Linked DNA regions of Xenopus tropicalis. The protein of the gene in region 2 interacts with the protein of the main gene of each other region in a pairwise test. Links are inferred from orthologs where the notes say so. Each region holds a gene or a part of one and is shown on either strand. Other genes may lie near its edges.

Region 1 (4,223 bases), on a different chromosome or scaffold from region 2:
TATCTTTGAAGTAGCCTTTAAAGAAGCCTTGCAATAGTAGAACTTTGCTTGCTGAGTAAACAGACACACCTGAATCTGACAGATTCAAATAAGCAGTGTAACCAAAGGCTTAGGGGCCCAAGGCAAAATTTGTCCTGGGGCCCCTATGCCATAGGCTCCTACCATACAGGGCGGATTCTTGGCCGGCGGATAAACACAGATGAGAATCCGCCCCTACGTTTCAATAAGTTCATTGCTGTGCCTGCACCCGGGGCCATTGCACAGGCCCAGCTGCAGGCACACTAAGCATCTGTTTATCTGCAGACTGAGAAACCACCCTGTGTGGCAGGAGCCATAAGCTTGCAGTGTTGCAAGCCCCAGTGCAGTTGCACCCACTGTTTCTCTGTTAGTTACACTACTGTTCTGAAATGTATCACTTTGTAGTGCCAGGCAGACGTTACCATATTTTGTGATCATTTTCACTACAGACTTTGGATGGAGTTTCTATGGTATAGTAAGTAAAGAACTCTATTTTGAATAACCAAATCATTTTACTGAACTTTATTTCAAAAATGCATAAAAGTGGAAGCAAACACAAATATTTTATATACCCAAGGGAATAGAAATGTGTGGCATAACTTGAGCTCTGCTCATCTCTTCTCTACTTCCCAGAAAACAGACCAGTGCCTTATCTGAAATTCATTGCTTAAATAAAATTTGCCCTTACCAGGGCCAGCTTATCAGAGTTTTTTTCTGGATCGCTAGCATATTTGCATTGATCCGTTCATTTTAAATGAGTCTATGGTTGACTTACAAATCGCAAAAAAAATAAAATAGCTTGAATCCTGAAAAAACACTTCCCATTACTTCTAGCCAAGCTCAACAGGGTTTTATCAGGCAAATTTTTTCAAGCGATTTTTTAAAAATGTATCTCAAAATGCATATAATAAGATAATTAAGATCAAGTGTATCAGCATTTTATCACATTGAGGCAAAACAAATATCTTAAATTTTAATAAATTTGTCCTTATGCTGGGAATAAGGGAATGGGAAAGAAATGACTGCAGCCTGGCATGTGTGCAATTAGATCTAGGCATGCAAATGCAAGCAGGAAATGTGAGAGATGGTTGTCTGCTCTTTGTGCTCACTGCTCCATTCCAGCAGCTGCCTATCTGCGTGGCTGCATTTATTAACCAGAAAGACAACAATGCAATTCTAACTTCCCCAGACCAGTGAGGTTTCTTCCCAGCACCAGCCTAAAGGTGGCCATACACGAGCAGATCCGCTCGCTTGGCGATGTCGCCAAGCGAGCGGATCTTCCCCCAATATCCCCACCTACGGGTGGGCGATATCGGGGACCATTTAGGTAAAAAAAATAATAATCCGATCGTTTGGCCCTGGGGCCAGACGATCGGATTATGTGAGCGGCAATGGGGCAGTCGGATCGGGGACCGCATCAACGAGCATTAACGTGTTTGAAAATAATTAAAACATGATAATTTGTTGTCCTGTACTAATAAAAGTGATATCTAGTATAAGTAAATCTAAAGCAACTGGACTTGCTAAGTAATCATTGAAGACAGCTGCTCGGATGAGTATTGAAACGTCTTCAATGATTACTTAGCAAGTCAAGTTGCTTTAGATTTATTTATACAGGTATGGGATCCCTTATCTGGAAACTTATTATACAGAAAGTTCCAAATTAATGAAAGGCCATCTGCCATAGACTCCATTACAAACAAATAATTCCAATTTTTGAAAATTATGGAGATCCAAATTACAGAAAGATCCCTTATCCGGAAAATCCCAGGTCTTGAGCATTCTGGATAACAGGTCCCATGCCTGATATACCATGACCTGGATGAATGAAAATCTTCATAGTCATATAGTAAAACTGATGTGTTTGCTTCAGAAATGTTATTATTGTGTATATAAACACACTGCTGTGTAGCAATGGGTAGCCATTAAAGATGGGAAGGAGTAATGCACAGGTTTACAAATAACAAATTAGCTCTGTAAATACAAGTGTATTCTGTTACACTTTCATTTTTTGGTATTGTTGTTCTTTTAACTTTGTATGAATGTATTATATCACTATGTATTTTATATATATATATATATATATATATATTTATTCATGTATATACACACAGAGAATACATACTTTGATCATTTATGTAGTAGGTACATTTTAATATTTACATTTATTTTAGTTATTCTGTGGATCTCCACGAACACATATGTATGAATGTGTCTGGATTTGAAGAGAATGAGAGAAAGAATAGCTTGTAATATATATATATATATATATATATATATATTATTTCTTTCTCTCATTCTCTTCAAATCCAGACACATTCATACATATGTGTTCGTGGAGATCCACAGAATGATTAAAATAAATGTAAATATTAAAATGTACCTACTACATAAATGATCAAAGTATGTATTCTCTGTGTGTATATACATGAAAATATGAAACCATTTTCAAGAACTCCTAGAAAGCTACAGAGTACACCTAGAGGAAAAGAAGGCGATGACCAGGAAAACAGGTAACCTAGCCTATTCCAATCACTGGAAATGTACTCATTCCTTACAAGATTAAGCGATTCGAAGTCGCGTCGCTGCAGCGTCCCACTTCCTGTACCAGGCCGCGTTGCCGCGGAAACAGTGACATGTTGGGTTGCTAGACAGGGAGGGTTTTGTTGCTTCCATTTTTTTCAAAAAACTTTATTAACTAGAGGAAGCCACTAACACTGAAGAAAAAATACAGTATACTGTACATTAGTGCGCGGCTGGCTTCAACCCAGCACCTCAGGGTCGGCCGTCCATGCACTTTACTTATATTGTGGCATGTGCATCATCCAAACCAAACAATACAGCAATATTTCCGAGTTCAGAGAAAAACAAAAATCGCATGGGTTTTGTTACAGCGGGAAAGTGTGCCGCTACAGAAGCATTTTGCAATGCGGCCAAGCTGACACAACTTTAGTTTATACACAACTCAATGAACTGCTCGCTACAAAAGCAACACTGAAGTGGCAGCGCTCGTCAATAAACTTTATTGTTCGCGAAGCAGCGCAGTGAGCACAGCGGGGCAGGGTGTGTTTCCTCCTCAATTCGCTCAACTTTAATGAACATCGCTGGGCGCGAACACTGCCAGTCTCCCGGCGCTGCTGCTTGTGGCTATTGCCGCTTCTCTGGAGGCCTCAGCTGAGTTCTGCTCCCCCGCCCTTTCCCTCGCTGAAGATGCCGAGCAAGAAAAAGAAATACAACGCTCGTTTTCCCCCGGTGAGTCGGCGGTCTCCTCTCGCACCGCTCTTTCCTGGTACAGGCTCCCCGAAAATCTCCCGCAAGGACCCCCCTCTGGTTCTGGATCCTTTGCGTTGCGCCGGATTTTGGCATCTTTTTTGCTCTGCCCAGCGCTATGGTTATGGGCAGTAGGAGCGTTGTGCAGAGTATTCAGCCTCATTGTAACAATAACACTGTATCCGCACACGCTGCAGCTTGTTATTGCTCACTAGTGCCTTTTGTACAGTCTATAAACATATATTGTTTACGTTCAATACACTGGTTCCTTAACGGAGTATCTGCCCCTCGACCAGGATGTTCGGTGCCTTGGCAGGGCCAACCCGCAGCCACCCGGGGACATAGCTGGGTAGAATGCCCAAGGTACTATTTAATTCCCTTCATGAAGGTCATTTAAAGCAAGTTTTGGGGTGAACACTGTTCTTATGGCTGTGACTGAATGGATAATACACAGAGTCTGTGATCTTGTTATGGGCTAAGGGGGTCCAAGCCAAATGGTGGGTCTTAAAGGTGAGAAGATAAGGGACCTGGGCAGTTTTTGGCTTTAATTAAGGTGGGGGTGGATCCTGGCCAAGTGGTGGGCCTTAGATGAGGGGGTCCTGGTTAAGTGTTGGGCCTTATTGGGGGGGGGGAGGTAAGGTCAAATGGTGGAAATTAAAGGGGAAGGGGGGCCCTGGTCAAATGATGGGGCTAAAGGGGGGGGGGGTCAATTAGTTGGCCCTATTGGGGGTGTCCTGGTAAAATGGTGGTGGGCCTTAAAAGGGGGGGGGGGGGGGCTGGTCAATTGGAAGACCACTGTTCTTATGTTTGACACGCATACACCTTGCTATCCTATTCATCCAGTGCACAAGTAGGCCTTCCTCATTACCTTAACATTAGTTGCTCTCAGTGCCCCCAAACCAGGGAGTTATTTTTGAATTCCTGACTTGGGGGCA
Region 2 (3,652 bases):
GTGGCCATCGCAATCCACCCACCAGAAAGTATTATATCCAATTCATTTCCCAATAACGGCACACACAGTGTTTAGGCAGACAACCTAGAAAAGACCAGTACCTCCGTTCCCATGCGCTAGTAAAGACTCAATGCTGAATAGGGCAAAAAGGCACATGTTTATATAGAAGATAAACAGGGGTCCAATGTTATTCGATGCTCTCTACAGATCTATACAATAAAAACCTCACACATTACAGGTAACGTTTTAGCAGTAAAAGGTACAGTAGAATACATATCCAATTTATATGCATTTATAATACACCTACCTTGATGAGCCTTGGTAACTCTCTCAGCACTGACTTTATTTCCCTTGCCTTTTGACAAACTGTACTCCACCATATCCCCCAACTCCAGTTTATCCACATCTCCTGAATACTCACTGTATCAACAAAACAAGATTTAAAGTTTTTCACAACATAGCTAAACCGAAAATTTACTTTTTAGTTCCTGCGTAGATAGTGCAGTTTTTGGACAAAACAAACAAAATCAGACCATCTGTGGATAATTAAAACAGAATTATATTTAAAAAGGCTTGTTTAGGCAGCCACAGTTTGACAAAACTTGGTTTCAAACAAAAACTTATCAGATGTTGACAGCTATAAACTGTTGCGATTTTATATTATGTTGATGTTTTTGCCCTGGTTGTGAAGTAGAAAAGCATAGAAGTGTAAAGTGCATATCCTATGTCAGTGCTGTCCAACTGGTGGCCCGTGACCCCCCTCTGTGTGGCCCCCTGCCTGTCTAGCTGCTTTGATGGCTTACCTTTGTGTAAGCTTTAAATGGTATCGTTACTGATCTTAACTGGCCCCATGCATGGTTCTCACCTCAGATTCAGGCTGTAATCAGGCTGTATTGTTTAAAAATGTAACCCCTGTACTGTTCACACCTTCTAATCTCTGCGTTGTTCTCCTGTTCACACCTCAGACATTGTATGTACTGCCTGGCCTATGCTGCCTGTGTGTGGACAGCATAGGGCAGGGAGGGTATGGCACACAGGCAGCATAGGTCAGGGAGTATATGGCACACACAGGCAGGGTAGGGGAGGCAGAGTATGGCACACACAGGCAGGGTAGGGGAGGCAGAGTATGGCACACACAGGCAGTGTAGGGGAGGCAGAGTATGGCACACACAGGCAGCATAGGGCAGGGAGGGTATGACACACAAGCAGGGTAGGGCAGGCAGAGCATGGCACACAGGCAGGGTAGGGCAGGCAGAGCATGGCACACAGGCAGGGTAGGGCAGGCAGAGCATGGCACACAGGCAGGGTAGGGCAGGCAGAGCATGGCACACAGGCAGGGTAGGGCAGGCAGAGCATGGCACACACAGGCAGGGTAGGGCACGCAGAGTATGGCACACACAGGCAGCATAGGGCAGGCAGAGTGCTGCCTGTGTGTACCATACACTCCCTACCCTATGCTGCCTGTGTAAGGCGAACCTGGCAGGGGTTTGTTTTGGGAGTTTGTTAGCAGTTGGAAATAGCGAAGAAATGGTCCCTAAGGTGTGTAATCATATGCTGGGGGTTGCTTCCACAGGGCAGGAGGAGGCATATGGATTTAAGGGTACATCTTAATATGACCACCATTGTGATAAAATGGGTGTGGTTTGAAGTGGGTGTGGTTTAAAGGGGGAGTGGTCAAAACTGGCTTCCATTAGCGGCCCTCCACCATGTATGAGAGAGAAATTCCGGCCCTCGGCACCGCAGAAGTTGGACAGCACTGTCCTATGTTATTAAGGCCCTTGGCACAGGAATTTCGTCCGCTGCTGCCCTCAGATGGATAAATGTAGGCAGAATGCCTCTCTAGTAAATTACAAGTGAAACACAGGGATGAGTGACAGGCAGACACTACCACCAAAATAATTATGCTAGTTTGCATGTTATAATTCCATATGTCCATTTGATTGGACATTTATTCAAATATATTAGTAGCAGTGACAGAGTAAGACAGGTGTAATGTTCACCATGGCAAGGCCTAAAGTTGAGACAAAACTTTGCTCTAAAATCTTCAAGAGATTAGACATGTAACATTAAATCATGTATTGAGAGGGCCGTCAAACTAAAATACATGGGCCTGATACAGATATTGTGCTTTGGACGTCCACAACCTGACTTGCGAACCTTGGCTTGACAACAGATTTATTATAATGTTTCCTAATATTCAGATCAATATACCAACACAGTTGGACAACACTATCAAAATAAAAAAACTAGTGTCTAAAAAAAACAAATCTAATTGCAAATCCATAATTTCAAACACGGTACCTGTAATGAAAGAAAATTTCTTTATCATGATTTGAAGTTTCAATGAATCCAAAGTTATCTTTAAGGGTGGCCACATATCCATAAAATCTTTTGGCATTTGAGTTGCGTCCAAGAACCTTCATGGATACAGCACTCTGCTGACCAGTTCTTTTGGCTTCACAAATGCTGAATTCAACCTGCACAAACAAAATACATTTTTAAGACTCAGACTACAAAGGCACTGTGAAATGAGATTCATATGACTTATGAAATGGGAAGTTATACTATTTGGAAATGTAAAGAGCAGCACCACAATGCAAGTCTAAGTGCATCAGTTACTGATGTTGCTTACCGTCCTGCAAATCTGCCAATTTAAATAAATATAACTGAAATAGTACCAACTGAGGGTCAGTTCTGCTGACCAGGTTGGCAGCTTGGACAAAATTTCAGAATAGGAAAGTCCTAAAATCCAGACCGACAAGAAGTCGTTTGATATTTTTTGTAAGCAGACACGAGCATCAGGACTGGCATGTGATGGTGTTTTAATCTAATATTAGTAATTTCCATATCGCCAATATCTTGAAATATAGAAATTAATGCAAAGTCTAAATACGCTTAATGGTGGAGCAGATGGCATGCAATTGCAGTTAAAGACTGCAGTGACAGTTTATAACCCAAAGTTACTTAAAGTTTACTTAAAGGAACAGTAACACCAAAAAATGAATGTGTTTTAAAGTAATTCAAATAGAACGTACTGTGGCCCTGCACTGGTAAAAACAGGTGTGTTTGCGTCAGAAATACTACTATAATTTATATAAATAAGCTGCTGTGTAGCCGTGGGGGCAGCCATTGAAGCTGGAAAAAAGGCACAGGTTACATAGCAGATTACAGATAAGACACCATTGTATTCTACAGGGTTTATCTGTTAGCTGCTATATACCCTGTGCCTTTTCTTTTGAAAGGCTGCCCCCATGGCTACACACCAGGGTTTATATAAACTCTATTAGTGTTTCTGAAGCAAACACAAAACTTTTACCAGTGCAGGGCAGCAGTACATTACAGTTTAATTTCTTTAAAATATATACATTTTTTGGTGTTACTGTTCCTTTAACAGTAAAGTGCAGTTTTGATTTGGTCAACTTCTTGCATGTAATTACTCCTACTTGTGATCGTCAAACAAAAGGCTTAGCTAAAGTTACATCTTCAGACAAAAAAAAAAAAATTCTCAATTTACATTTCCCTATTTATTACCTTATCTCCAACTTGGGGTGCACATGATCCTTCAATATCTTTTAGATGATATGATACAGTTAGCCTGATACCACAGTCTTCATAAGAAATTATTCCCTCTTCACACTCCTATTACAAAGCA
Region 3 (4,212 bases), on a different chromosome or scaffold from region 2:
AGTAGATCCCCTGTGCTCAATCAGCTGCAATGAAACAGTTCCGGAAAGAAGTAATAAGGGTACATGTCTATCCCCGCACCCCAGCCCCCAAATGCAAAGGGTCTATAAGGGACAAACAAACATGGCCTAGCCAGCTGAACTGCACCTATCCTACAGGTAACTGCTCCAGGTGTGTGTTAGACGGAAGCCTACCCCCAGGCATAAACAGGTGGAACAAGGAAAGCCATAACCTAAATACACAATGTGCGATAGGGAAACATCTTCCCTCCATCAGACTGGCCTAGGGCTGGGGAAAGAGAAACCCTAACCCCTTATCATCACCAGCAGGATATGTACCTAAGCTTGTGTAACAAGGAACAGGTCCCCCACTGTAAGACTGGTCTAGACTGGTGTAACAGGGACACAAATTCCAATCGTGGGTGTAAAGCAGAGCCCAATCCCCGATCTTCAGTATTTACACACATAATTTATGGTCTGGTCTTAGGGAAATATACACCTCAGTGCACCTGTATAGACTCGCAGTCCTGTATTTTAGAGACTTCTGGATTATAGATTTCCAGATAATGGATCCCATATTTGTTCAGCCAGCCCCCCCCCCCTGTACACAGGCCCTGTTAAAGCACTTGTATAGGTAAACAATAAGAACAGCTCTCATATGAAAATACTGGCACTTTGCTTTTTACATTTGAATGTGGTTTAAAATGAAAGGCACGGCGCCAGAGTTTTCATGTAAGGGCTGTTTCTGTTATTCCCTGGGAATGTTTTGGGTGATGTTCAGCCAGGCACCCAGGCACCCAGGGAACCGGAAGCACCACTAAAATGCAGACAAAAAGGAGTGAAGGTGAGGATCCTATACAATTCCTGCATAGCTGTCAACCAATAAATGAACAGTGTACTTGTAAAGTCAGCCCCAATACACAGACCCTATCAGTGCAGCTCTATAGCAGCCCCCCAATACAGACCCTATCAGTGCACTTGTATAGCAGCCCCCAATACACAGCCCCTATCAGTGCACCTGTATATCCAGCCCCCAATACACAGCCCCTATCAGTGCACCTGTATATCCAGCCCCCAATACACAGCCCCTATCAGTGCACCTGTATATCCAGCCCCCAATACACAGCCCCTATCAGTTTACATGTATAGCCAGCCCCCCAGTACACAAACCCTATCAGTGCACCTGTATAGCCAGCCCCCCAGTACAGCCCCTGTCAGTGCACCTGTATAGGCGGCCCCCCACTACACAAACCCTATCAGTGCTCCTGTATAGCCGGCCCCCCAGTACAGCCCCTGTCAGTGCACCTGTATAGCTGGCCCCCCAGTACAGCCCGTATCAGTGCACCTGTATAGCCGGCCCCCCAGTACAGCCCCTATCAGTGCACCTGTATAGGCGGCCCCCCAGTACAGCCCCTATCAGTGCTCCTGTATAGCCGGCCCCCCAGTACAGCCCCTATCAGTGCTCCTGTATAGCCGGCCCCCCAGTACAGCCCCTATCAGTGCTCCTGTATAGCCGGCCCCCCAGTGCACCTGTATAGGCGGCCCCCCAGTGCACCTGTATAGGCGGCCCCCCAGTGCACCTGTATAGGCGGCCCCCCAGTGCACCTGTATAGGCAGCCCCCCAGTACAGCCCGTATCAGTGCACCTGTATAGCCGGCCCCCCAGCACAGCCCGTATCAGTGCACCTGTATAGCCGGCCCCCCAGTACAGCCCCTATCAGTGCACCTGTATAGCCGGCCCCCCAGTACAGCCCCTATCAGTGCACCTGTATAGGCGGCCCCCCAGTACAGCCCCTATCAGTGCTCCTGTATAGCCAGCCCCCCAGTACAGCCCCTATAAGTGCTCCTGTATAGCCGGCCCCCCAGTACAGCCCCTATCAGTGCACCTGTATAGGCGGCCCCCCAGTACAGCCCCTATCAGTGCTCCTGTATAGCCGGCCCCCCAGTGCACCTGTATAGCCGGCCCCCCAGTGCACCTGTATAGCCGGCCCCCCAGTGCACCTGTATAGCCGGCCCCCCAGCACAGCCCGTATCAGTGCACCTGTATAGCCAGCCCGTATCAGTGCACCTGTATAGCCAGCCCGTATCAGTGCACCTGTATAGCCGGCCCCCCAGTACAGCCCCTATAAGTGCTCCTGTATAGGCGGCCCCCCAGTACAGCCCCTATCAGTGCACCTGTATAGGCGGCCCCCCAGTGCACCTGTATAGGCGGCCCCCCAGTGCACCTGTATAGGCGGCCCCCCAGTACAGCCCGTATCAGTGCACCTGTATAGCCGGCCCCCCAGTACAGCCCGTATCAGTGCACCTGTATAGGCGGCCCCCCAGTACAGCCCGTATCAGTGCACCTGTATAGGCGGCCCCCCAGTACAGCCCGTATCAGTGCACCTGTATAGGTGGCCCCCCAGTACAGCCCGTATCAGTGCACCTGTATAGCCGGCACCCCAGTACAGCCCGTATCAGTGCACCTGTATAGGCGGCCCCCCAGTACAGCCCGTATCAGTGCACCTGTATAGGCGGCCCCCCAGTACAGCCCGTATCAGTGCACCTGTATAGCCGGCACCCCAGTACAGCCCGTATCAGTGCACCTGTATAGGCGGCCCCCCAGTACAGCCCGTATCAGTGCACCTGTATAGGCGGCCCCCCAGTGCACCTGTATAGGCGGCCCCCCAGCACACATACATGACGTGCCACAAGGTGCTGGGCGGTGCAGCAGGTACCTGAGTCTTGGTTGTTAATTGGATCACGGCCTTTCTGAAGTTCAGCTTCGTGTCCGTGTTCCCCATTCCGTTACCGGCTGGAACCTTGCCCTGGCCCGTCCACTCCCTCCACCCCTCCCGACCGGGTAGGATTAAATCCGCCTGAAACAGCTGGAGAACCGGATCCGTCAATCACCCCCGGTAATCCCGCCTACCGAGCGTCTGCAGCCCGCCCACGGATTCCACGCCTCTCCCCCGTCACCAGCATCAAGGTTGAAACCACGCCTTGATTGTCCTGCAGGCCCCGCCCATACAGTTACAGGAAGTGGAAGAGATGACATATTGTGTGTCCAGGTGTCAGTGTTTGCTGATTGGGCAGCGTGGTGTGATACTGTATGTGCTGTTCCAATAGCAACCGTAATGCTTCCTATAACTCCTGCCTCTGTATAGCTCTCTTTCCAGGGTAGCCTGTATATATATCCTTATAGCTGAACTGCAGCAACTGGGGCTCCACCAAGGGGTCTGCTTGAACTGCATGGAACTCTCATACCCCTCTGGCAGATGTGATTGCTGCTAGCTTGGGGAGGCTGAACTGCACCAGCGTTACTGGGCACCCAGCTGACTAGGGTCACAGCAAATGCACCTATAATTGTACCAGTCTGGCACTCACCCCAAATCCCCCCTAACTGGCCTTCAGGCTGGGCCCCCTTAGCCCATAACAAGGTTACAGATATATAGAAACATTGGGGTAACAGTCACCCTGCTATAGTTCCAGGGGTACCCAGGGCACAAATAAGCACTCACCCCAAATCCCCCCCTAACTGGCCTTCAGGCTGGGCCCCCTTAGCCCATAACAAGGTTACAGATATATAGAAACATTGGGGTAACAGTCACCCTGCTATAGTTCCAGGGGTACCCAGGGCACAAATAAGCACTCACCCCAAATCCCCCCCTAACTGGCCTTCAGGCTGGGCCCCCTTAGCCCATAACAAGGTTACAGATATATAGAAACATTGGGGTAACAGTCACCCTGCTATAGTTCCAGGGGTACCCAGGGCACAAATAAGCACTCACCCCAAATCCCCCCCTAACTGGCCTTCAGGCTGGGCCCCCTTAGCCCATAACAAGGTTACAGATATATAGAAACATTGGGGAAACAGTCACCCCGCTATAGTTCCAGGGGTACCCAGGGCACAAATAAGCACTCACCCCAAATTCCCCCCTAACTGGCCTTCAGGCTGGGCCCCCTTAGCCCATAACAAGGTTACAGATATATAGAAACATTGGGGTAACAGTCACCCTGCTATAGTTCCAGGGGTACCCAGGGCACAAATAATCACTCACCCCAAATCTCCCCCTAACTGGCCTTCAGGCTGGGCCCCCTTAGCCCATAACAAGGTTACAGATATATAGAAACATTGGGGTAACAGTCACCCCGCTATAGTTCCAGGGGTACCCAGGGCACAAATAAGCACTCACCCCAAATCCCCCCCTAACTGGCCTTCAGGCTGGGCCCCCTT

Evidence for each region.
Region 1: the proteins of csde1 (region 2) and c11orf68 interact in a two-hybrid assay, tested with the Homo sapiens proteins (2 studies listed by BioGRID and IntAct). The link is inferred for Xenopus tropicalis from reciprocal best matches to the Homo sapiens genes CSDE1 and C11orf68.
Region 3: the proteins of csde1 (region 2) and hid1 interact in binary tests that used the Homo sapiens proteins (3 or more experiments, as listed by UniProt). The two-hybrid records come from large-scale screens. The link is inferred for Xenopus tropicalis from reciprocal best matches to the Homo sapiens genes CSDE1 and HID1.

The regions. Positions count from the first base shown.
Region 1 is NC_030680.2:38,499,330-38,503,552, forward strand, and holds the start of c11orf68 (UPF0696 protein C11orf68 homolog), read right to left. Parts: upstream 2,941-4,223; 5' UTR 2,577-2,940; intron 1-2,576. Other genes in the region: drap1 (dr1-associated corepressor), read left to right, coding at 3,229-3,270.
Region 2 is NC_030678.2:53,764,056-53,767,707, reverse strand, and holds part of csde1 (cold shock domain-containing protein E1), read right to left. Parts: intron 3,640-3,652; coding exon 3,532-3,639; intron 2,478-3,531; coding exon 2,302-2,477; intron 421-2,301; coding exon 308-420; intron 1-307. UniProt on the Homo sapiens protein: RNA-binding protein involved in translationally coupled mRNA turnover.
Region 3 is NC_030686.2:44,285,044-44,289,255, forward strand, and holds the start of hid1 (protein HID1), read right to left. Parts: upstream 2,881-4,212; 5' UTR 2,780-2,880; coding exon 2,714-2,779; intron 1-2,713. UniProt on the Homo sapiens protein: May play an important role in the development of cancers in a broad range of tissues.